Caenorhabditis elegans: one gene and its partners. The protein of the gene in region 1 interacts with the protein of each later gene in a pairwise test. Each region holds a gene or a part of one and is shown in the gene's direction. Other genes may lie near its edges. The genes, in order: cpb-1, fbf-1 and fbf-2.

The links.
Region 2: the proteins of cpb-1 (region 1) and fbf-1 interact in binary tests that used the Caenorhabditis elegans proteins (3 or more experiments, as listed by UniProt).
Region 3: the proteins of cpb-1 (region 1) and fbf-2 interact in a two-hybrid assay, tested with the Caenorhabditis elegans proteins (2 studies listed by BioGRID).

What each region holds. Positions count from the first base shown.
Region 1 is NC_003281.10:9,318,700-9,326,947, forward strand, and holds cpb-1 (Cytoplasmic polyadenylation element-binding protein 1), read left to right. Parts: upstream 1-3,610; 5' UTR 3,611-3,616; coding exon 3,617-4,031; intron 4,032-4,074; coding exon 4,075-4,437; intron 4,438-4,484; coding exon 4,485-4,595; intron 4,596-4,642; coding exon 4,643-4,733; intron 4,734-4,790; coding exon 4,791-5,130; intron 5,131-5,178; coding exon 5,179-5,394; intron 5,395-5,448; coding exon 5,449-5,595; 3' UTR 5,596-6,214; downstream 6,215-8,248. Other genes in the region: C40H1.9 (Fungal lipase-type domain-containing protein), read left to right, coding at 1,341-1,441, 1,746-1,806, 1,854-1,969, 2,019-2,083, 2,131-2,248, 2,287-2,578, 2,625-2,734, 2,778-2,964; C40H1.7 (Fungal lipase-type domain-containing protein), read left to right, coding at 6,379-6,470, 6,517-6,589, 6,633-6,754, 7,007-7,071, 7,119-7,236, 7,281-7,413, 7,666-7,818, 7,867-8,042 and 1 more.
Region 2 is NC_003280.10:6,076,396-6,084,288, reverse strand, and holds fbf-1 (Fem-3 mRNA-binding factor 1), read left to right. Parts: upstream 1-3,445; 5' UTR 3,446-3,568; coding exon 3,569-3,610; intron 3,611-3,656; coding exon 3,657-3,890; intron 3,891-3,938; coding exon 3,939-4,108; intron 4,109-4,160; coding exon 4,161-4,413; intron 4,414-4,456; coding exon 4,457-5,070; intron 5,071-5,118; coding exon 5,119-5,247; intron 5,248-5,292; coding exon 5,293-5,496; intron 5,497-5,540; coding exon 5,541-5,739; 3' UTR 5,740-6,026; downstream 6,027-7,893. Other genes in the region: F21H12.3 (uncharacterized protein), read right to left, coding at 783-1,230, 1,281-1,369; H12I13.6 (uncharacterized protein), read right to left, coding at 6,054-6,205, 6,279-6,354. UniProt on the Caenorhabditis elegans protein: RNA-binding protein that binds to the consensus sequence 5'-UGUGCCAUA-3' in mRNA 3'-UTRs. Involved in the control of stem cells and sex determination in the C.elegans hermaphrodite germline.
Region 3 is NC_003280.10:6,086,746-6,094,869, reverse strand, and holds fbf-2 (Fem-3 mRNA-binding factor 2), read left to right. Parts: upstream 1-3,389; 5' UTR 3,390-3,497; coding exon 3,498-3,539; intron 3,540-3,587; coding exon 3,588-3,821; intron 3,822-3,869; coding exon 3,870-4,045; intron 4,046-4,097; coding exon 4,098-4,350; intron 4,351-4,393; coding exon 4,394-5,007; intron 5,008-5,058; coding exon 5,059-5,187; intron 5,188-5,233; coding exon 5,234-5,437; intron 5,438-5,481; coding exon 5,482-5,728; 3' UTR 5,729-6,007; downstream 6,008-8,124. Other genes in the region: tpp-2 (Tripeptidyl-peptidase 2), read left to right, coding at 1-382, 428-665, 712-1,055, 1,104-1,990; nspg-3 (DUF19 domain-containing protein), read right to left, coding at 2,115-2,325, 2,374-2,470, 2,514-2,668, 2,788-3,050. UniProt on the Caenorhabditis elegans protein: RNA-binding protein that binds to the consensus sequence 5'-UGUGCCAUA-3' in mRNA 3'-UTRs. Involved in the control of stem cells and sex determination in the C.elegans hermaphrodite germline.

The sequences.
Region 1 (8,248 bases):
TTGAATATCCAACGTTTGATTTATGGGTTAACGGACATTCTCTTTGAGCAACACTTTCATATGTGACGGCTTCATACATAGCATCGAGAGGACTTTACAGACCACGTAATATGAAAATTGTTGTTCTTGCTCCGATGAAATTAGGAGATTATAATTTTGCAGAATGGTATTCGAATAAGGTATTGTTTAATCTTTTGATACAAATTAGTTTTCTAATTTTTCAGTTCCCATCTTCATTCCATATAATTCACCGATTGGACCTCATTCCTAGAGTTCCAGCAATTGACCCTCATACCAATACAACTGTGATGTTCCACCCAAGAACCGAAGTTTGGTGAGATTGCTTATTGAAAGTTAGAACATTTAATTTCAAACATTTTTCCAGGTACAACAATTACATGAGATTGAATGACACATACCAAATTTGTGAAGAAGCGGATGGAAATAACTGTAGTGATGCAGTTACGGAAGGATTGAATATGAATGATCATGGATTCTATTTCGATATTAATATTGCAAATTGGGGAAAGGATGGGTGTCCAAAAAATACGACTGGATATTCGCAGCCATGAAAAACTATTTACACATCTCTCATATCTTTTTTATTTGAATAAATGAATTATTTTTAACATAATTCTTTATGATTTAATTCTCTAAATGATTTGAAAAATTTCAATTTACCATGATTGCCGTAATTTTTTGTTAGTTTTAGATTTTTGTTTTTTGTTAGTATATTCTTGTTGCATTGCCTAAACCAAGTTTTGCCCAACTTTTGCGAACTTTTGGAAAAAGTCGATATTCTTTGGGTCCACCGGAAAATGTTCAACTTGATCAACTTCTTCCATACTTCATTTTTTCTGTTTTTTTTTCAAAACATGAATCATCGAGATTATCAATTTATGGAGGAAACAGTGTGCAAATAGTGGCACCAAAAAAACGAGATGTAATCAAAAATAACTTGTTTTTCAGGTCACTCTTATCGCTTTTTGAAATAAAGTATCGGAAAATAATTACATTTGTTGATATAAAATCTTCTTTAGACTGAACCTGAAATTTGAACAAATATTTCTAAAAAAAAGCTGGTAAAAGTAAAAGTAATTATTTGTTGAAAAGATTTCAGTAAACCTAAAGTTTAGTGTTCTAGTCAACCAACAGGTCTGTTTGAATAGATGAGTACATACACACAACGTGGTATTCATATAAAACTTGTTTTTCTTCATTCTTATCACTTTCTCATTGACCATTAGTCTTGAAGAGTTGATCGAAAAGAAGAGCCGTCCTGGTATCATTTTATCATTTATTGTACTCATCATTGTTGAATTTTCTCCAAACGATCAAAAATGATAGTTTTATTTCTGCTTTTTCTTATTTCGCTCGGAATTTATCCATTTACATCAAGTTCTTCGTTAGACTGCTCAAATTGTGTTGGATCAGGTCAAGTGTGAGTTGCTTTGAAGGTGTAGTATGTTCAGTTGGGGTTCAGTACAAATACTTTTATCATGGTACAGGCGAATCTTCAAAGTTAAGAATTTCAGATGTTTCAAAATTTTCAATTTAGGTTGTGGTAAATTGTCAAATTTTTCAACAATGTAGAGCGTCCGAGCTGAGTTCCACAAAATAATTTTTCAATAGTGAATAAAATTTTGATTGGGCTTTAGGGCTGCAAGACTAATTTTTGAATGGCCTATAGCTGACAAAATCTTGATTTGATGTCATTAAATCAATATTTTCTATTAAACTTTCAGATGGTGTGTTGAACAGTCTCAGTGCAATTCAAGCTTCGTATCTTGCAGTACAAAAATCTCGGTGAGACCTGATACTCATATATAGATGAACTTATTCAACAATTCCAGCTCCAACTAAATTGCCCCACAAAACCGAAAGTTCCATATGATGAACATTTTGCACGTACTCAAATGTTGGCTCTAGCCTCGGCTTCCCATAATGCCAATCCTCAGCTGTGTCTTGAGTAAAAATATGAGCAAGCTTCAAATAATTTCAGTATAAAATAATTCCAGCAACCAAATTCCTACAATGAAGCTTTACAAAGTTCGAACTGTGAATTGTTCAACAGACTACCCTGGTATGATTCAATATAGTAATATTTATCAATTTTTTTTTGTATAACAGATGTGGCATGTTATGGATATACTGCTTATGATGTCACTCAAAAAGCTATTGTCATATCTTATAGAGGATCTCATGGACCGAACCAGAACAATCAAATACTGGAAGGAATGACTCGAGAGTATGTTTTGATTCTTTTTTTTATTATATTGGTTTCAGTGGTCTTCATTCATACTTTGGCAAAGGTACAGGTAAAATCTTCAAAGTGATCTACGATTCTTTCATGCTCCTTTGGAACGACAGGATTAATCAAGATTTACGATATTTGAAGTACAAGTACCCTGACTTTGAGTTATGGTTAAATGGGCATTCACTTGGAGGAGCCCTTTCATATACTACAGCTTCATATTTAACAACAGTTGGACTATACAAACCAGAAAATATGAAAATCATTGTTCTTGCTCCTACGAAAATAGGAGACTACGATTTTGCAGCGTGGTATTCGTCCACAGTGAGTCTAAAATTTCAAGTTTCATGAACATTTGATAATTTTCCAGTTTTCATATTCATTCCATATAATTCACCGATTGGATCTTATTCCTAGAGTTCCAGCAATTGACCCTCATACCAATACAACTGTCATGTTTCAACCAAGAACTGAAATTTGGTAAGTCATAGTACTTGAAAGTTTCGATTTGAATACTCTTTAGGTACAATAACTACATGAGATTGAATGACACATATCAAATTTGTGAAGAAGCCGATGGAGACTACTGTAGTGATGCAGTTACAGAAGGATTGAATATGAATGATCATGGATTCTATTTCGATATTAATATTTCAAATTGGGGAAAGGATGGGTGTCCAAAAAATACGACTGGATATGCTCAACCTTGATAACCTTTCAATTTTTAATTTTGAGAAAGAATGAATATTTTGAATCTAAAATTTTTTAAACCGAACATTGTTCTGTCAAATTTATTAGAACTTCTTCATGAATTCCTCGAAACGAAAATAAAATTCTTTCACGCAAAAATTAACACGTGAAATACGTGGAAAGTAGGCCATGGGGTCAGTGTCAAGTTTTGCCACGCACACTGTTCAGTGTTCTCAAAATTTCTTTAACCATGCTAAAATACTTTTTTCCACAAGTTCGCTTTTTTAAATTTTTATTCAGAGAATAATTTTTTCGTATACGAATTTGTGAGAACATTGCGGTTCTTGTCATAATATTTGCATATAAGAATGTTCAAAATTTAAAGAAACTTTCAGTTTTTTATATTTTTGTGATTATAAACGCGATTTTATGTGTTATCTGTGATTTTAAATTTGGCCAAATGTGTGCAAACAGATTTATTATAGTCCTTTTCGAAAGCTTTGCTTTCTATTGCAGAAAAAAAGCGAAAATCTGAGAAATGCAAATGCGCTCTGCTGCACTGCAAAAAAAAAGATTTTTAAAGAGCAATTTTTCATCGCTTTTTTGTCTCAATCTTCTAAATTATTGTCTATTTTAAATAATTGAATAACTTTTAAAACTATTTTCAGAGAGATGCAGTATCAGCTGAGTCCAAGTGGGGATTTCAAGACATCTGCTCCAGTTCGATCGTCTCATGGCCATCGCCGTTCAACCGAGTCAAAAAAATCGGGAGGACATGGAAATCCATATTTGTCTACAGACAAAACGAATCTGGATATCAGTGTATCATTTTTGACTTCGCAGGCCCAGAAGAAAATGAGAGGAATGTCGGCGAATCATGGAATTTTCGACCCCACTGAGATGCTGACTGCAGATGATCCCTCGAATTATGGATACCAATTCTTGAACCACGCCACATTTTACAATAACATGGATATAATGCAAGCAGCGTCTGGAGATGTTCCTCCGTTAATGAGTGTCAATCCTTACAAACAATCATTTGACATCAATGATGCTTCCGCGGCAATGAACATGGCTCAATTTGCTCGTTTGTTATACTCATGTTTTCATACCTATTGTTGAATTTTCAGATACGTTGAATGCAATTCAAAACAGTTCCTATTCAATGTCTCATTATAACCAAGCACCTATGCAGCATTTCATTTCGCCCAACAGTTTTCATGTATCGTACAACCAGCGGTTCCCACATATTAAAAAGAATGCAACGCACGCGAATCGTATGGTAGAAATAAAGAAGATCAACGGACACCGTTACATGGAAGTGACCGATCCCCAAGCCGTATCTGCTCCACCAGAATACAAACGCCTTGATGGGTCACTAATGGGCGTATCAAAAAGTTGTTTGGAGGCCTCGAAAAAACGTCCGATTTCAGCTGAACCGCTATACTCCCGCAAGGTTTTTATTGGCGGTCTTCCAATCGACGTCTCAGAAGGTATTTTGTGTCATAAATTATTATTCTAATTTTCTGAAAGTTTCTAGAGCAAGTTTGGGCCACGTTCGGAGCTTTCGGGAAGGTGCTGATTGATTGGCCTCGTCGCCCGGAGCACAATGCAGAACGAGCTGAACAGGAATTGAAAAAAGGAAGCGGTTGTATGTTATATTCGTACACATCATCAACAAAGATAAACTATTTACAGCACGCGCTGTAACGGGATATGTTTTTCTCGTTTTCACTCACGAGCGGTCTGTCCAGGAGCTAGTCAATGCATGCGAGTTTTATGAAGATAAGTTAGTGAAAGATTGAATTTTCATAATAATAATAATAATAATATTGCTATTTTTAAGATACTACCTTCAGTTGTCTTCTCCAACGATGACCGACAAAGCAGTCCAAGTCCGGCCTTGGCGTCTTTCCGACATTGACTACTTCTGTAATGACAACTCTTCGGTCGATCATCGTCGCACTGTCTTCATTGGTGGCGTTCCTCGTCCGACCCGTGCTCAAGATCTTGCACGTTGTCTTGAAGGTCACTATGGAAAAGTGTCGTATGTGGGAATTGATATTGATCCAGAGTTGAAATACCCAAAAGGAGCTGCCCGAGTCACTTTCTCAACTTCTCAAGCATTTGTTCGCGCCATATCGGGTCGTTTCGTGCAGGTCAATCATGCCGAAAATAACAAACGAGTGAGTCGAGATTAGAACTAATTGAGTTTTTTAACTTCACAATTTTAGGTTGAAATCAAGCCGTATGTGATGGAAGAACAATACTGTGATGAGTGTGAAGGAAGATTGTGCAAGCATAACTATGCTCCATACTTCTGTGGACATGCTTCCTGTCTTCAATATTACTGTGAAGGTTGTTGGGATCGCATGCATATTGGAAAGAATGAAGATAACAAGCTCGAAGATCAGCATTATCCAATGGTGCGCACTGGAGATCAAACAAGAGTCAGTTCTAATAAAATAATATCTTTATTGTATTCAGAAGTATTTTATTTTCAGCTTCTCAAGCATCTTCCACATCGCTCCTCTGGTTTTAAGCCTGCTCCAGTTTTCCATCCATCTAGCCAATCTACTACGGCAAAAATCTTAGCGTATGGAGATCAGTCACAGAGACAGTTTTCTGCCACTCCCTCCTATAGTTTCTGAGACTCTTATCTCACTAAAAAGTATTCCACCGTTTTATCCGCACCCTACCACCCCCTTTCATATTTTTAAAGTTTTGCCTTAATATTCCGAGAATTCTGCTCAATTTTGAAACTCTTCCTTTTCAAAAAGAAGTACCATATTTTCGTGTGAATCTCTCCGTGCAACTCTACCATTCCCCTAGATTCCATTGTAAACTTCAAGTAATCATGTTAAATTTTCATTATGTAATATTCTCTTCATGTTTTATTTCTCGTCTCTTGACATTTCCCCCAACATGTTTCTATATTATTATCAATCCCTGGTACCCTATATCTTGTGTATTTATGTACATCCCATTCTTAGCCTATCCGAATTGGCAGAATTTTGTAATTTCCTTTAGAATTTTTTATTTATTGCCCGTATCCCACAAAGTTCATACTCGATCAGAGATATAGCTTAGATAGTTTGAATTGTAGCTATCATTCAGATTAATTATATTATTTATTGTCACCCCGTGATATTTAGTCCCCCATATTTAACCCGTTTTTAATTTTCCCGGTTTTAAAATTGCTCCGAACATTGGCTTTATAATTTTTTTGTGACGGAAGAAATTTCCAAATAAAGTTCTTTCACCAACAAAGAAATGTTCTAGAAGCAAAAATCATTGCCGCATCTTTTGCGAATTTTAAAGTGCACGTACTGATAACCCCACCTCCTCCCATCAATTTCCGTGAATCGAAACTTTGATTAAGTCCACGCCTTATCGAATGGCTCATTTCACCTCGAGGTAAAACTCTTTGAAAGATGACAGCATCCCCTGCAGCTTACCTTTTGCTTCATTTATTTCTGAGACTTACAGCTAAGACTTGTTGGCAGTGTTTACAGGATGGAGGACAGTTAGTTTCAAATGATGTTTGCGAGGTTTTGATTGAAGATTTTCAGATTTTGTTTAGATAATAATCAATGCATAGTTGATGTGTTAACAATTGAGACAAAATGTAATAGGATAGTTGATGTAAGTCTGTGGGCCCAATAAAAGTAATAAGAAACAATTTTAGCTTCCAATAAATTGTCCATCTGTACCAGCACTACAGTATGCTTATGACGACGATTTTGTCAGAAATACAGTTTTACCTGTTATAGCTGCAACCGGGACAGATAATCCACAAAAATGTCTTGAGTGAGTTTAGGAAAATAGTTTATTGCCAAGAAGCAAAACAAATTTCTAAGAAAATACGGTACCCGGTCTCGAAGCGATCGCTTTTTTTTAAATTCAAAGGAGCGTGCGCCGTTAAGGTGTACTGTAGTTGCTAACTTTTCGTTGTTGGGTAATTTGAATCGATTGTTTATATTTTTCGATAAAAATATATTTAAAAAAATAAAATACTGAAATAAAAACTAATAAGACAATGTTCAAAATAAGAATTTTCAGCAACCAACTTCCTTCTATGAAAGTCTATAAACGGCGTGAGGCAAACTGCTCCTCACTTTTCTCAGGTAAATCCAAATTTTTCTCGGAATTCAATCATACTGCTTCGTTTTAGATGTAACTTGTTCTGGATACACTGGAATTGATTTCGACCGAAAAGTAATCGTTCTCTCGGTTCGTGGATCACACGGTGATCATCAATATTATGATTTGTGGAAAATCGGAAATTTTAAGTTGGTTTTAACATATTTTACTCTTAAAATCAGATTAATTTCAGTGGAACAGTCCCATTTCTAAATATTGGAAGAGTTACGAAGAAGTTTAATGACAACTTTGAATCATTATGGTATAGTGGATTGGGTGAAGATTTGCAAAATTTGATTGATGCCTATCCGGATTATCAGTTATGGGTGGGTAAAGGGTTTGAAAATTATTAAGTATGGATGTATAGTTTAAGACAGTACAATAAACACGACAACATGAATATTGCGGGAAGTCAAGGTTTGAGTTGTGTGACGTCACACGAAGTACGGTTCTTGTTATTAATTTAAACCTTAACTTTTAAAATGTTGGGAAGTGAAGTTTCAGTATCACGAATTCTTAAAAACATTTCGTTTCATTTTCAACACCTGAAGTGAATCCCCTCAACCCCAGAATTTCAGATAACTGGGTACTCGATGGGTGCATCAATTGCATTACTTACATCTGCATTCATTGCTCAAACTGGAATGAGCTCTCCTTACAATATGAAAGTAATTTTATTTGGATGTCCTAGATGTACAGATTATGATTTTGCAATGTGGCATAGTACCAACGTAACGAGATAAATAGAGAACGTCTAAGTTTAAAAGTTCATATTTCAGTTTCCATATTCTTACCACATTATCCACGCACATGACTATGCACCACGTCTCCCTTTCTTTGATAATATTGATAACACAACACTTTATCACCCACGAAGTGAAGTTTGGTACAACAATGATATGCGTGAAGGCGACTCTTTTGTCATTTGCGAGCAAGCAGATCAACCGTTTTGCAGGTTTTCGCAACATTTCTTATCAGCAACTATCAACAAAAATGTTTGATTTTTTCAGCAGTCAGGTGCAGAACCTGTCAAATGCCGACCATGCACATTATTTTAATATGGACTTGTACAGATGGTCAGCTGATGGATGTCCGAAGAATAAGGAAGATTACAGGCCAATTGCAGAGAGTGCGGTTAAAAATGGGAAGACGTTCAGTTAT
Region 2 (7,893 bases), on another chromosome or scaffold:
GGAAAGATTCGACTAGTTGATGCAAGTGGAATTATCAACTCTGATGGATTCTACAACTTTCTTCCCAACACCACCAAAATGGGAATTGAGCAAGAATAATACCGAAAACTTCATCCCAACTGCTGAGCCACTTGCATATTCGCAGATTCCATTCTACTTAACTGGCCTCACGGATACTGCTGTGATTGTCGATGCCATAAAGGACATCCGAAGTGTTTGTGAACGATTTACCGATCAAGGACTTCCAAATTTCCCACAAGGAATCGCATTCACATTCTGGGAACAATATCTTTTCTTGACTGGAAATCTTATGCAAGCCATTTCGATCATTACCATCTCTGTCTTCTGTGTCATTTCCGTTCTTCTTTTTAATCCATGGGCTGCACTTATGGTTGTTTGTATTCTCGGAATCATGACTTGCGAACTTGCCGGATTCATGGGACTCGTTGGAATTAAGCTCAATCCGGTTTCAGCCGTAACTTTGATCACCGCAGTTGGAATTGGAGTCGAATTCACTGTTCATGTGGTTGTCTCATTCCTGACGGCGCTCGGAACAAGATCTCAACGAACGTCATCTGCAGTTGATCGAGTTTTTGTTCCAGTAATTCATGGATCATTCTCCACACTTCTCGGTATTTTGATGCTTGGATTCTCAGTTTGAGTGAGTTTTACAGAAGTATGGATGTCATCAGAATTTTATTTTTCAGATTTGTTGTCAAATATTTCTCTATTGTCATGACGGCTCTGATTTGCATTGGAACGGACTAATTCTTCTCCCAGTTTTATAATCTTGTTTTGTTCCAAGAAGAGAGATAAAATGTTTTGTTCCAAGAAGAGAGATAAAATAGAGATTCCGTAGTAAAATATCCAATTGTAGTAAAAGATCTAGATGTGGAATTCTTAGTAAAAGAGATTCCGTAGTAAAAGAGATCCTGTAGTAAAAGAGATGCGTTGTAAAAGATCAAGTAGTAAAACAGTATTTGCCCAAAGTCTGACCAGCGAATCATATCATCAACTGACAGCGCACTCAACGACGTCCCAAGTGATCGGAGTGAGGATTTTGGGAGAGATGGATGCGGCTCAAAAGCTTTCGATCCATCGCAAAAATAATCTATTGGAGTAATCCAAATGCATATCATATCGATGACGTCACCAAGCGAGGAAGCGGCAGAATCGGCTGCGACAGATGGTGGAGCTGGTTTGAAGCAGATGTCGGATAGAGACCAGTCCCTAAAATGATCAATTGTTACAAGAAAAATATATTGGTAGTCTTCACTTACACTCCATGAACTGAAACGTTGAAACTAGCGATGTGCTTCATAATCTCGGCGTGTTTTAGAAGAGCGAAGAGGTCCTGCAGCAAGTGCATCTTGTCCCACACGTTTTTTTTATTTTCCAATAATCCACATTAATTGTAATCAATGTTGCAATCTGAAAAGTGAAAATCAGCTAAATCAGAAAAAAGGAAACAACTTACGTTGAGAGTTTAAATATATAAAAACCAGCCGTTCGCACGCGCTGAAGCGCGTGCTCCGACTGGCGTACTCAAAATTAAAATCAAATTCTGAAATTTCTGAGCCTTTCTTTGCAGATGAAACGTTTTTCCCTGTTTTCCGGAAGTTCTCGAGCAACATAAATATCTACAAACTATGGAACAAACGGCCTTCATTCCGAGATGACAAACTTTTTGGTGGCAAAGGTTCTTTGGGGGCATAGTATCCAAGGAGACAAAGTATCCAGTAGACAAACTGGGGTGTATCTTGGGGGGCATATCTTTGGTGACAACCTTTTTTTCAACTAGATTTTTATATGTATTTTTCAACTAATTTTTGTTCACATTTTTCTGGAATAAGTTTTTTAATGCAATTTTCAATCGATTATCGGTTATAATTCCCTCACAATTAAATGTATGAACGATGGTCTTTTGGGAAAAGCTGTAAAAGGTCCAACTAACTTGGAATATCGTGAGGCTCTTCCTGATGGTCTGATCCTTCAGCTCCGAGGGATCACATAGGTACCTTCTGATGTTCTGATCCTTCAGAAAAGAAGGATCGTAAGGGTACCTCCTGATGGTCTGATCCTTCAGCTCCAAAGGATCACGAGGCTCTTCCTGATGTTCTGATCCTTCAGCTCCGAAGGATCACATGGGTACCTTCTGATGTTCTGATCCTTCAGATAAGAAGGATCGTAAGGGTACCTCCTGATGGTCTGATCCTTCAGCTCCAAAGGATCACGAGGCTCTTCCTGATGTTCTGATCCTTCAGCTCCGAAGGATCCGACGTCATCATCTCGAAGAATCTTACGATATTCCAAGTTAGTTGGACGTTTTACAGCATTTTCCCAAAAGATCATTGTTCATGCATTCAATTGTGAGTAGTCAAGGCCGAAAATCCATGGAAAATTGCATTTAAAAACTTATTCCAGTAAAATATGAACAAAAAATGGTCAAGAAATATATATAAAAAAACTAGTTGAAAAAGTTTGTCACCGAAGATACGCCCGGTCAGAGACAAATGGCACTTTGTCGACTGGATACCATGTCACTTTGGATACTTTGTCCCCAAAAATACCTTGCCACCCTAAAAGTTTGTCCCCTCGGAATGAGGGCCAGTTACCAGTGGCCATAATCGTGTGATTATTATTTGGGATGTTCGAAGTGTTTGCTCCGCCCTTTCTGGATCACAATAGACAATTGCTTCTTCTACTTCTTGAATGTCTCATAATTCTTCTTATTTTTATCTAATTTATTGCTTCTCCTTTCTATTTTGTATATTAACTCCCAAAAACGCCCATTCTTCCCCAAAACCATCTAAAACTTACCAATATTTCCCGATACCCCTGACAGGTTATCCTGAATAATGATTGTGATTCTCAAATTTCTTCTAATCCCGTTAATTCCCCAAATATTCGAATGTAACTTTTTTTGGAATTTTTTTGTTTTCTAGTTTATAAATAAACAATATGTTTGAAAAACAATCGTAATTTGCGTTTTAGATGGTTAAACGGTAGGAAGCTTAAGCTTCCTACAACATCCAAATACAATGCAATATTTTCTGAAATTCTAAATATCAAAACATCATCCGGAATATGGAGATTTAATGCAACTCTATAGAGGTTTATGGGGACTTAGTCTTCTGGAAATTGAATTATGTGATTATGAATTAATTTTAAAAAAACCAATCCCAATCATACGATCGTCGACGACGATCGTCCCTCGCGTCTCGCGAGAGCCAACTGGTTATAGCTTTTCGGGAGGTTTAAATGTTTTATCAATTTTATACGGTACGGTCTGGAATATTCCACAATTTTTTATCTGTTTTAACAGAGAATATCTCTCCATGGAGATGCTAAAATTTTGAGAGATAAATAAGCAAATCGCATTGTTTGAAAATTTCAATTTGGATACGGTAGACAATGACAAAGTACGCAAACACCAGAGTATGTGACACACTTTCGTCATTCTCAAATTCAATTTGAAATATTATTTTCTTATTCCTATTCTCTATTTTCTGTGAATTGATAGTTTTTCTATAAGTAACCATTCGAATAAAATTATCAACTAATCGACATGGACCAATCAAAAATGCGCTATACAAATCAGTTCAGAAAAGTTGGTTTTCAGCCATTAATATTGATAAATGGCCTAAATTTTACAGACTCCGCAAAAGCCCACATCTACAGAGGTTGGAAATCATCATACTCCCGCACATTCGCCGATGGCGCAGCATGAGACATCAATGTGGAACTTCAACTCTCTCAACCCGTATTTCTCAATGCTCAATATGAACGATGGGATGAATTATGCTCGCCATCAACAGAATCACATTGTTACATCGCGGCCACCAACCCCGCTAACTGATTTGATGAGCCTCCGGAGTTTTCAGAGCTTTGTAAGTTAGAGTAGCTAATTTTTGGTTGTTTTCATTACTGATTTGCAGCCCAATGTGTTCATGCCGGTCTCGCGTAGCCGAACTTCATCATTCATTCAGTCTGATACGGATTCCTCGCGTCTCGAGCCGGACGATTTTTCACAAAATGTCCGATATTGCTCTACCGAGATTGATCGTAACAATAGTTCTTCGAAAAATGACCATTTGAAATATTCGAGGTTCGAATTAATTTATCACTATCCTCAAGTGTTTATTCTGTTTTATTTATAGACCCGCTCTATCGAGGAACTCTAGATCATTCACAAGATCAAACAATGTGCTGCCAACCTGGTCCTTGGATTCCAATGGTGAAATGCGTTCAAGATTGTCGCTCTCTGAAGTTTTGGATAGTGGCGATTTGATGAAGTTTGCCGTTGACAAAACTGGGTGCCAGTTCCTCGAAAAGGCCGTGAAGGGCAGCCTGACATCTTATCAGAAGTTCCAATTGTTTGAACAAGTTATTGGGAGAAAAGATGATTTCCTTGTAAGTTTTAGTTTCTGCGAGCACACACGACTTTTCTTTTCAGAAATTGAGCACGAACATCTTTGGAAATTATTTCGTACAAGAAATCATTGGAATGTCATTGACAACTTATGATGACGACAACATAAAGCGACAAGAAAAGTTGAAGAACTTCATCAGTTCCCAAATGACAGATATGTGCTTGGACAAATTTGCGTGTCGTGTTATCCAATCCAGTCTCCAGAACATGGATTTATCCCTTGCGTGTAAACTTGTTCAAGCTCTACCTCGTGATGCTCGTCTTATCGCAATCTGTGTTGATCAAAATGCCAATCACGTCATTCAGAAAGTCGTAGCTGTCATCCCACTGAAGAATTGGGAGTTTATCGTGGATTTTGTTGCAACCCCAGAGCACCTCCGTCAGATTTGTTTTGATAAGTATGGGTGCCGTGTTGTGCAAACTATAATCGAAAAACTCACTGCTGATTCAATAAACGTTGATTTAACTTCCGCTGCTCAACATCTTCGTGAACGAGCACTCCAACGCCTCATGACTTCTGTGACTAATCGGTGCCAAGAATTAGCTACGAACGAGTATGCCAATTACATAATACAGCATATTGTATCCAATGATGATCTGGCCGTATATCGGGAATGTATCATAGAGAAATGCCTCATGTGAGTGTTGTTTAATATATATTTGATTTTTAATCATTAATATTTCAGGCGCAATCTTCTTTCGTTATCCCAGGAAAAGTTTGCGTCTCATGTTGTAGAGAAAGCATTCCTACATGCACCAATGGAACTTCTTGCTGAAATGATGGACGAGATTTTCGACGGATACATGCCACACCCGTAAAAATTTCGTTTCAGTCACATAAAAATTAAATTGTTTTTCAGGGGCACTGGAAAAGATGCTCTCGATATCATGATGTTCCATCAATTCGGAAACTACGTCGTTCAATGCATGCTGACTATTTGCTGTGATGCTGTGTCTGGAAGACGACAAACGAAAGAAGGGAGCTATGACCATGCAAACTCATTCCAAGTTTGGCTCAAAAAGTTGCACTCGAGAGTTACGAAAGAAAGGCATCGCTTGTCAAGGTTATCACTATTGTCACAATAATATTTTGAAATTCGAATTTCAGGTTCTCATCCGGCAAAAAGATGATCGAGACGCTTGCCCATCTCCGTTCAACTCATCCGATTTATGGACTCCAATCTTCGGGACATGAATCATTCAAGACGGATTGCTTCAGTACTGCTTCCGAACACGATGGTCTAGAGTTGGAGAAGAATGGAATCGAGGAAGGTAACCTGAGGCTCATGCGAACTTTCTCACCATAAATCTCATCCCACCCACTTATGTTCTGTTGTTTTGTAATATTTTAAACTGTTGCAATGGTTTCGTTTCGATTTTAAGATCGATGTTGTGCCATCCCCACCCTTATCATTGCCCAGTTTTGTTTTTTCTTTTCTTTTTTGTTGTTTTATTGCTTTTCATGCAGTTGTGTTATTGTTTCTTTCTGTTTATTGTTCATTGTTTTGTTTTTTTTTTTCGAATTTAATGAATCCAGATAAATTTGGACACGAAAACTCTAAAAATTAAATAAAATTATTTCAACACTAAAATAATTCATTACGCAAAAACAACAAACAAATTATTCGAAGATTTCCTCTCGTTGACGCCAGGTAGAGTTGGCGTCGTCGTTCTCCATGTAAACCATTGATGTTGGAATTGTGGGGCGAGCCTCCACGCCTGGCGGTGGTCTTCTCGGTGCGAACATCATCGACCCACCAATCTCCTCTTCGACTGAAAACACAGAGTATTTAAAATAAAATGAGAATGAAAGGTAAGTTCCTCCCAATTACTTCAGTAAACTCGCCTTTTTTAGCCTTAAATTTTCCGCAGTTCACCAATACGGCAGCAGTGAGAATAACAGAACAGACGAGAAACAGCATCTGTAAATAAATTTGATTTCAATCTCTACTCTTCAGCACTTATACTATAAGTGTTGTACTTCTATGAGTTTCATTGGATAAGTGTCTATTCGGAATAGTCTCGCTGCACTTTATTCTCTACAGTAATCTTACATTAGAGTATACGCGAGAAATGGAGAGTGCTGCGAGAACTAGAATGAATATGCCTCCCTTGAAACGTATAGAAAGATTGGAAAAAGAGGAATTGGATTTAAAAAAAAGAAAAAAAAAAGTAATCGGGATTGTTAAAACCTTTGATATCATACAAAACGATTTCCTCATGCACTTTTCACGTGGAAAATCAGGAGTAAGCAACGTGTCCCCTTATTTGTTGACGTCTGAAGCCGTGGCAATAGGTAGGAATAGGACTCAAATATTTTTTAAAATCTAACAACACAGATTTTTACGCAGTACATAAAAAATGAATGAAGGACGTTCTTCAAGTGTTTTGAAACATTCCAAGTTTTAGTGGATTTAAAAGTTAAAAACCAGTAAAGTTAGTAGTGTTCGGTATAATATGACAATTAGTAGTCAAATGGATGCAAAATATTTCAGAGTCAGTTTTAGAATAAAGCAATCCATAAATATTCGAAACCACATTCAGTTCTTGAAATTACAATTTGCATGTTCTGTACCATTCCGAGTTTTAGTGGATTTAAAAGTTAAAAACCACTAAAGTTAGTAGTGTTCGGTATAATATGACAATTAGTAGTCATATGGATGCAAAATATTTCAGAGTCAGTTTTAGAATAAAGCAATCCATAAATATTCGAAACCACATTCAGTTCTTGAAATTACAATTTGCATGTTCTGTACCATTCCGAGTTTTAGTGGATTTAAAAGTTAAAAACCACTAAAGTTAGTAGTGTTCGGTATAATATGACAATTAGTAGTCAAATGGATGCAAAATATTTCAGAGTCAGTTTTAGAATAAAGCAATCCATAAATATTCGAAACCACATTCAGTTCTTGAAATTACAATTTGCATGTTCTGTACCATTCCGAGTTTTAGTGGATTTAAAAGTTAAAAACCACTAAAGTTAGTAGTGTTCGGTATAATATGACAATTAGTAGTCATATGGATGCAAAATATTTCAGAGTCAGTTTTAGAATAAAGCAATCCATAAATATTCGAAACCACATTCAGTTCTTGAAATTACAATTTGCATGTTCTGTACCATTCCGAGTTTTAGTGGATTTAAAAGTTAAAAACCACTAAAGTTAGTAGTGTTCGGTATAATATGACAATTAGTAGTCAAATGGATGCAAAATATTTCAGAGTCAGTTTTAGAATAAAGCAATCCATAAATATTCGAAACCACATTCAGTTCTTGAAATTACAATTTGCATAATCTGTACCATTCCGAGTTTTAGTGGATTTAAAAGTTAAAAACCACTAAAGTTAGTAGTGTTCGGTATAATATGACAATTAATAGTCAAATGGATGCAAAATATTTCAGAGTCAGTTTTAGAATAAAGCAATCCATAAATATTCGAAACCACATTCAGTTCTTGAAATTA
Region 3 (8,124 bases), on another chromosome or scaffold:
ACAGAAACTCAAAAAATACAGGGTCCAATTGGAAATGAATGGAGCAAGTCGATTACTGTTCAAGGTGGAAAGACTCTTGAAGCATGTGTTGTTCGTGCTTGGTCACGTGGAAAGAATCCTGTGGATGTTGACATGACCATCGACTTCTTTGGAGTCAAAAAGCCAACTTCTATTTCACTGATTCATGGAGCAACTAACACGCCCATTCGCTTCCAAGCTGCTCCAACGAAAAGTATCGACGTTTCTCCTTCGATTTCTCTAAAATCACTTGTTGTATCACTGAAACCACAATCTGCCAAAGTAGAACCATTGGGACCACGTGATATGTTCCTTACGTCTGGACTTCAAATCAATCGTCTTCTGTTGACTTATCAGCTTAAAGGTAACCTTTTTTAACTACATAATTATTAAAATATTATTTTTTCAGTTCAAAAACCAAGTGAAGTGCAACTTCAACTTGCTGGCCTTACTCCATATTTGTATGAATCTCCTGTGGACTGTGTACTCTTCCAAATTTTCGGAGCAAACAAGTCGTTTGTGGGTGCTTCTTCTTCGTACCCGGATCGTTGGACTCAGAAGCTTGAGAAAGGAGATTATACTATTCAGGCTCAGATTAGATATCCGGATGATCAAGTTTTGCAAGGAATGAAGGAACTTCCTCTGCTGTAAGTAATTCTTTAAATTCTAACTGAAATGATTTTTGTGTTTCAGTGTTCATGTGAAACTTGGAAACAAAATTTCTGTTGACCTCGCAGCTTCTGCCAGCGATGCAACACTTGGAAAAGAGTGCAAATTTGCTGGAAAAGCCCTTCTTCCAAATCAAGAAATGACCGTCTACGCTATGAATATCGCTGATGATAAATTGCCAAAGACTATCGTACCAACAAGTGGAAGTTTCCTTGCTGGAACATTTAGTGCTCTCAAGGATTCTGATTTGAGTGATGTAGACAAATCTGAAGTTATTTACTTTCTCAGTGAGTACTCTACTCGTCCTACGAAAGGATTGTCAATGGTTACAACAAAGAAAGATACGAATCAAAATCAGGAAATGACTGGTAGATAATAATTAAAAATTGTATCTTTTATTAAATTCATATTTACAGACGCCATTCGCGATTTGGAAGTATCATGGGTGCAAAAATTGACAGACGAAAAGGCAGCGAAAGAATTTTTCGAAGCTTGTCTGCAGAAGTATCCAGATCATCTCCCACTACTTCAGAATCGAGTAAAGCAATTGATGCAAGCAAAACTTGTGGATCAAACACCGGAAAACGTGCAGAAGATTATTGAATTATGTGGTCAAATTTTGCAAATCACAAAACCGAATGAAACTCTTCAGTTCTCATCCGTCAAGCAAGAACATGATGATGATCTCCTTACTGTTGACAAATGGCTGGCACTAACCGGAGGCAGTGAGGACCAGCGAAAGGATGTGGTGAAGTTGATTTCACAATTTGAGGAACGGAAGAAAAGTATTATTCTCGCTTTGCAAGCTCTTTCATCATTGGAGCAGGATATTGAAGTTCGTAAGAGCAAGTTCGACGTTCCAGCAAGTCTTCGTTTCGGAGGAATCACTCCTCTAATTTTCGGTGGAAAGCAAGGAGAAGTGATCAATAAGAAGTCTGAAGGTTATGAAGCACTGAAATCAAAATCTGAACAAATTGATGCAACTGTCTCTGAAGAACTGAAAAAGTTGGATAGTAATTGGACTGGAAATCAGTTTTACGTCAAGCTTCTCGTTTGGTTGTCTGCTGATGATACTAAAACTGCACTGATCTCTGCCAAACATGCAGCTGCTCTTGGACAATTTGGAAGATGTGCAAAGCTTCTCAACAAAGCTGGAGATGAACTGAAGTCGTCTGCTACTGATTCGCAAGCTGTTGATACATCATTGGCTGAAGTCTGCGAAAGTCTCGAGTGGAATCATCTTGCTACTCACTTTAAAAATTCGGCTCTGATCAAAAACAGAACCTCCTACCGTCTTTTCTAATTAGTGTATCATAAGAAATTTCGCGGGTTTCTTTTTTCTGGAAGCTTTTTTGCTTCCATTTCCGTTGTGAATCAAATGATTTTCCCATTTGAATAGATAAACTTTTATTGTTTTATAAATGAGATCAAACAAAAATTTTGCAGAGATACATTAAAATTATTAAGAAGAAGAATGTTCGAGGTTGCGACGAATTGATGCATGGCATGTACTCACAGAAGTTCCACCCAGTCATGTGGGTGAGAATCTTCTGATATTGGCAGTATGATTTGACAGCACTATTTCCACATGATTTTCTCACTACTGCTCGCTCACATTGTGTGGTTCGTGATACGGAGCTCAAAATTAAAAACTAATCTCAATAAGTCTGAAACTATTAGACTCACTCGCAACTGCCAACTTCCAAAACGGAACATTCAGTATAAATCGTGTCAGAGAGATCATTCAAACTGATTGCTTGCATACATTCATAATATGCCACAACTGAAATATTTATAAAACAATGAACGAGAATGAAAAACCTCACAATCATTTCCATAATTACAATAGAATTCAAGAAACCCCGTTTGTGAGATGTAATAAGCTGCATTGCTTTCTGAACCAAAAATTGCATTGAAAGTGTTATAGTTGAGACAATCATTGATGACGTCACTATGACAGTGACGTAGAGTTGTATATGTACTGTAATTATTCGTCTTTTTTAAAAATATTTATTCTAGCATGTAAAACCGGTTCTATTGAAATTCTTCAATAATTTTACAATTTAAAAGGTGTTGCAATGTTGTAATACCTTCACATACCTACACATTCCAGTGGCATCGTACCGAATTTTCTTAAATGGATCTTCGTCTGCTGGGGGAAGGCTAGTCACATTTGAACCATATGATTGAAACATATCTATATAACATTGTTGTAGCACTTGATCTTGATCAGAACTGCAGTTATGCAGCACTCCTTCGTTTCCCGCTACGGTTTGCTTCACTAGACCTGCTAAATCAACTTCGAGTGTCTCTAGCGATTTAGTAACGATCGTAACCACAACAACGAGAATATTCCAAATCATCAAATATAGGGAAAGAAAATTTTGTGTTTCGAGCAATTTAAAGTGTTTAGTCTGAAACAGAATAGCTCGTAAAATGTCGTCACCGTCAGTCGACCGGTTTATAGCTTTTCGGGAGGTTGAAATGTGTTTATCAATTTGATATGTTACGGTCCCGGAATTTTCCAAAAATTTTTATTGTTTCTAGTAATCATTAGTAATCAAATTGATAATTATTTTAAATACACTTTTTAATTCTTGAAACATGTGATTAGAATCTCGCATTATTTGAAAATTTCAATTTGGTTACGGTAGACAATGACAAAGTACGCAAACACCAGAGTATGTGACACACTTTCGTCATTTGCGAATTCGATTTTAAATATTATTTTCATATTCCCATTCCTATTTTCTGTGAATTGATAATTTTTCTATGAGTAATCATTCTAATAAAATTATCAACTAATCGACATGGACCAATCAAAGATGCGCAGAACGAATCAGTTCAGAAAAGTAAGTTTTCAGTAACTTCTAAAGAAACAAATGGCCTAAGTTTTACAGACTTCCCAGAAGCCTCCTTCTACAGGGATTGACAGTTATCCGACTCCCGCACAATCACCAATGGCGCAGCATGAGACACCTATGTGGGACTTCAACTCTCTCAACCCGTATTTCTCAATGCTCAATATGAACGATGGGATTAATTATGCTCGCCATCAACAGAATCACATTGTTACATCGCGGCCACCAACCCCGCTAACTGATTTGATGAGCCTTCGGAGTTTTCAGAGCTTTGTAAGTTAGAGTAGGCAATTTTTGGTTGTTTTCATTACTGATTTGCAGCCCAATGTGTTCATGCCGGTCTCGCGTAGCCGAACTTCATCATTCATTCAGTCTGATACGGATTCCTCGCGTCTCGAGTCGGATGATTTTTCACAAAATGTCCGATGTTTCTCTGCGGATATTGATCGTAGCAAGAGCTATGGTTCTTCAAAACACTACCATTTGAAATATTCGAGGTTCGAATTAATTTATCACTATCCTCTAGTATTTATTCTTTTTTATTTATAGACCCGCTCTGTCGAGGAACTCTAGATCATTCACAAGATCAAACAATGTGCTGCCAACCTGGTCCTTGGATTCCAATGGTGAAATGCGTTCAAGATTGTCGCTCTCTGAAGTTTTGGATAGTGGCGATTTAATGAAGTTTGCCGTTGACAAAACTGGGTGCCAGTTCCTAGAAAAGGCAGTGAAGGGCAGCCTGACATCTTATCAGAAGTTCCAATTGTTTGAACAAGTTATTGGGAGAAAAGATGATTTCCTTGTAAGTTTTAGTTTCTGCGAGCACACATGACTTTTCTTTTCAGAAATTGAGCACGAACATCTTTGGAAATTATTTGGTACAAAGCGTTATTGGAATTTCATTGGCAACTAATGATGACGGATACACAAAGCGACAAGAAAAGTTGAAGAACTTCATCAGTTCCCAAATGACAGATATGTGCTTGGACAAATTTGCGTGTCGTGTTATCCAATCCAGTCTCCAGAACATGGATTTATCCCTTGCGTGTAAACTTGTTCAAGCTCTACCTCGTGATGCTCGTCTTATCGCAATCTGTGTTGATCAAAATGCCAATCACGTCATTCAGAAAGTCGTAGCAGTCATCCCACTGAAGAATTGGGAGTTTATTGTGGATTTCGTTGCCACCCCAGAGCACCTCCGTCAGATTTGTTCTGATAAGTATGGGTGCCGTGTTGTGCAAACTATTATCGAAAAGCTCACTGCTGATTCAATGAACGTTGATTTAACTTCCGCTGCTCAAAATCTTCGTGAACGAGCGCTCCAACGACTCATGACTTCTGTGACTAATCGGTGCCAAGAATTAGCTACGAACGAGTATGCCAATTACATAATACAGCATATTGTATCCAATGATGATCTGGCCGTTTATCGGGAATGTATCATAGAGAAATGCCTCATGTGAGTGTTATTGTTTAATATCTACTTGATTTTTAATCATCAATATTTCAGGCGCAACCTTCTTTCGTTGTCCCAGGAAAAGTTTGCTTCTCATGTTGTTGAGAAAGCATTCCTACATGCACCATTGGAACTTCTTGCCGAAATGATGGACGAGATTTTCGACGGATACATTCCACATCCGTAAAAACATTAGTTTCAGTCACATAAAAATGAAATGTTTTTTCAGGGACACGGGAAAAGATGCCCTCGATATCATGATGTTCCATCAATTCGGAAACTACGTCGTTCAATGCATGCTGACTATTTGCTGTGATGCTGTGTCTGGAAGACGGCAAACGAAAGAAGGAGGCTATGACCATGCAATCTCATTCCAGGATTGGCTGAAAAAGTTGCACTCGAGAGTTACGAAAGAAAGGCATCGCTTGTCAAGGTTATCACTATTGTCACAATAATATTTTGAAATTCGAAATTCAGGTTCTCATCCGGCAAAAAGATGATCGAGACGCTTGCCAATCTCCGTTCAACTCATCCGATTTATGAACTCCAATCTTCGGGACACGATTCATTCAAGACGGATTACTTCAGTACTGCTTCCGAGCACGATGGTCCGGAGTTGGAGAAGAATGGGATCGAGGAAGGAAGCCTGATGCTAGAGCCACGGAGCAATAAGTCTTCAGTCTCTGTCAAATTTTCTTCTTCCGGTAGTCACGGCGATGATTAAGGTGGAACTTTCTCACCATAAATCTCATCCCACCCACTTATGTTCTGTTGTTTTGTAATATTTTAAACTGGTGCAATGATTTCGTTTCGATTTTAAGATCGATGTTGTGCCTTCCCCACTCTTATCATTGCCCAGTTTTGTTTTTTCTTTTCTTTTTTGTTATTTTATTGCTTTTTATGCAGTTGTGTTATTGTTTCTTTCTGTTTACTGTTCATTGTTTTTGTTAATTTTTTATTTTCGATTTTAATGAATCCAGATAAAATTAGACAACTTGGCAAAATATCGTTCGAGTCTTTGTCATGCTTCCACCGAGAGCTTCCTGCTTCCATACAATGCCTGCTCAGAAAACAATTTTGAAAGCGAAGAGAAAAGTTGTTCTTTGCTCGGAGAACAAAAAACTGATAACCGACAAATGTTGACTTTGTAAATTTAATCAAATTAGAAACCATGAAGAATAAATATAGTTCAATTATCATATTGAAATTTATCTTACAATTGCATCGATTTCAAAATAATGGGACTCTCAGAAAATAGAAAAACAAAAATTGGATACTGGGGATGAGGAAGAACTCCGCGAACATTGGCGGTCCTTCTCTCATGTGGTCCTCGTATAGGTGGTGGCAATCCTCTCATTGTTATCCAACATCGAGAAAATGTTCTTCGGCTAGAACTCTGAAACAAAAATACTTTCAAATTAAAATTGTCAAGATAAATTCGTACTTCCTGACACAATTTGTGTTGTTGCAGCGTTGAATTCGATTCCAAACCAAGTGGCAAGACCAAGACCCAGCAATGATGATGGAATAGTTGAATTGACAGAATTCCTCGAGCATATCAGCAATGGATGTTGATGCAAGTGGATGCAATGTTCTTCTTTTGTTTCTCATCAACGTTTGCCTTATGATTGTGAAGTGACTTGATGAACTCTCTCTGCCATGCTTAAAGAACTTGTTCAGCAGCAATTTCGTTCCATGCATCAATGTCTAATCCAGCCTTCATAGAGTTTCTTCCAGGCTTCTGCTTGAATCTCAAGAAAACATAGGCGGGGCTTGCAACGAGAAAAACTGATTGAAGAGCATCATCTCCTGATAGTTTTCCTCCCTTCTTGGCACGTCTTGGATCTCCTAGTATCATATCTTCAAGCCAATTAAGAACGTTAGATGCGAAACCAGAACATCCACTGTGTATACATATTCATCACTTCGGACCATTTGTCTTTGTTATCTTTCAACCATTCGAAAACAGACTTCCGGTATTATTTATAATCTGAAACATGACTTTATATTTTAATAGAAAAACGAATTTACTTAAATACAGTCTTTCAATTCTCTGGCTTTTTGCTTTTTCTCTTTTTCTTCTGCAGCTCTGGTTTCCTCCGGTGACAAAGTAGTCGTAGTTGGAATAGGAGCAGTTGTTACTGGAATATTTGCTGGTACTGCATCTTCAACTGCTGGAATCGCATCTACTGGTCTTTATTCTTAATCTTAAATTTTATGGCAAATACTGTTTTACTACTTGATCTTTTACTATGTATCTCTTTTACTACAAGATCTCTTTTACTACGGAATCTCTTTTACTACGAATTCCGCATTTAGATCTTTTACTACAATTGGCTCTTTTACTACGTGATCTCTTTTACTACCATTTGACCACATATATCTTTTACTACGGAAAATACTTTTTTACTACCTCATTTTTTACTACGTGGATCTTTCACTACGGTTTTTTATTCCGATGTTTTGCTACAGTTTGTATCTTTTGCTACGGTAGACATTTTTACTACAATGGCAGGGATTGTACTTTTCACTATGTTTCGTATCTTTTACTACTAATTTTTTACTACGAATTAAAAATTAATGTCTATAGTATTTTATATTCTAGATATAAACAAATGTATGAATTTTTTTTCAAAATACATAGGTCATAATTGTAGATGGAGTTAATGGAGGGAGACTGTTGAGTTACTGTAGTGGTATTGTGGAAATAACAGTTTTCAGATTATATAGTGTTTTTTTTAATTTCTGGAAATTTATTCACTATGAAATGAGCAGAACTTATTATGGCCATTTGGATCTAGAAATTAAAAAAAACACGATATGATCTCTTGCTCTCTTGTAAAACTTTTGTAAAAATTTCAGAAACATTTAAAAAGTCCTCTATAAATGTTTTAAAACTCAGAAGATTTTCTGAAAATGAAAATGTAGGTATCCTATCTCGGTCGTCAATTTATTTGTCATAGTTTTCAACTACAAAGTTGTTGAATATGGTATGATCTACGATTTGTCAGTTGAACATTTTTTTACCAAATTGTTTTTTCGCGGAGATATCGGTACTTGGAGTCAATACGTTTTATGAACTAACTTTTGACAACTTATCTCCGTTTTTTTTTCAAATCT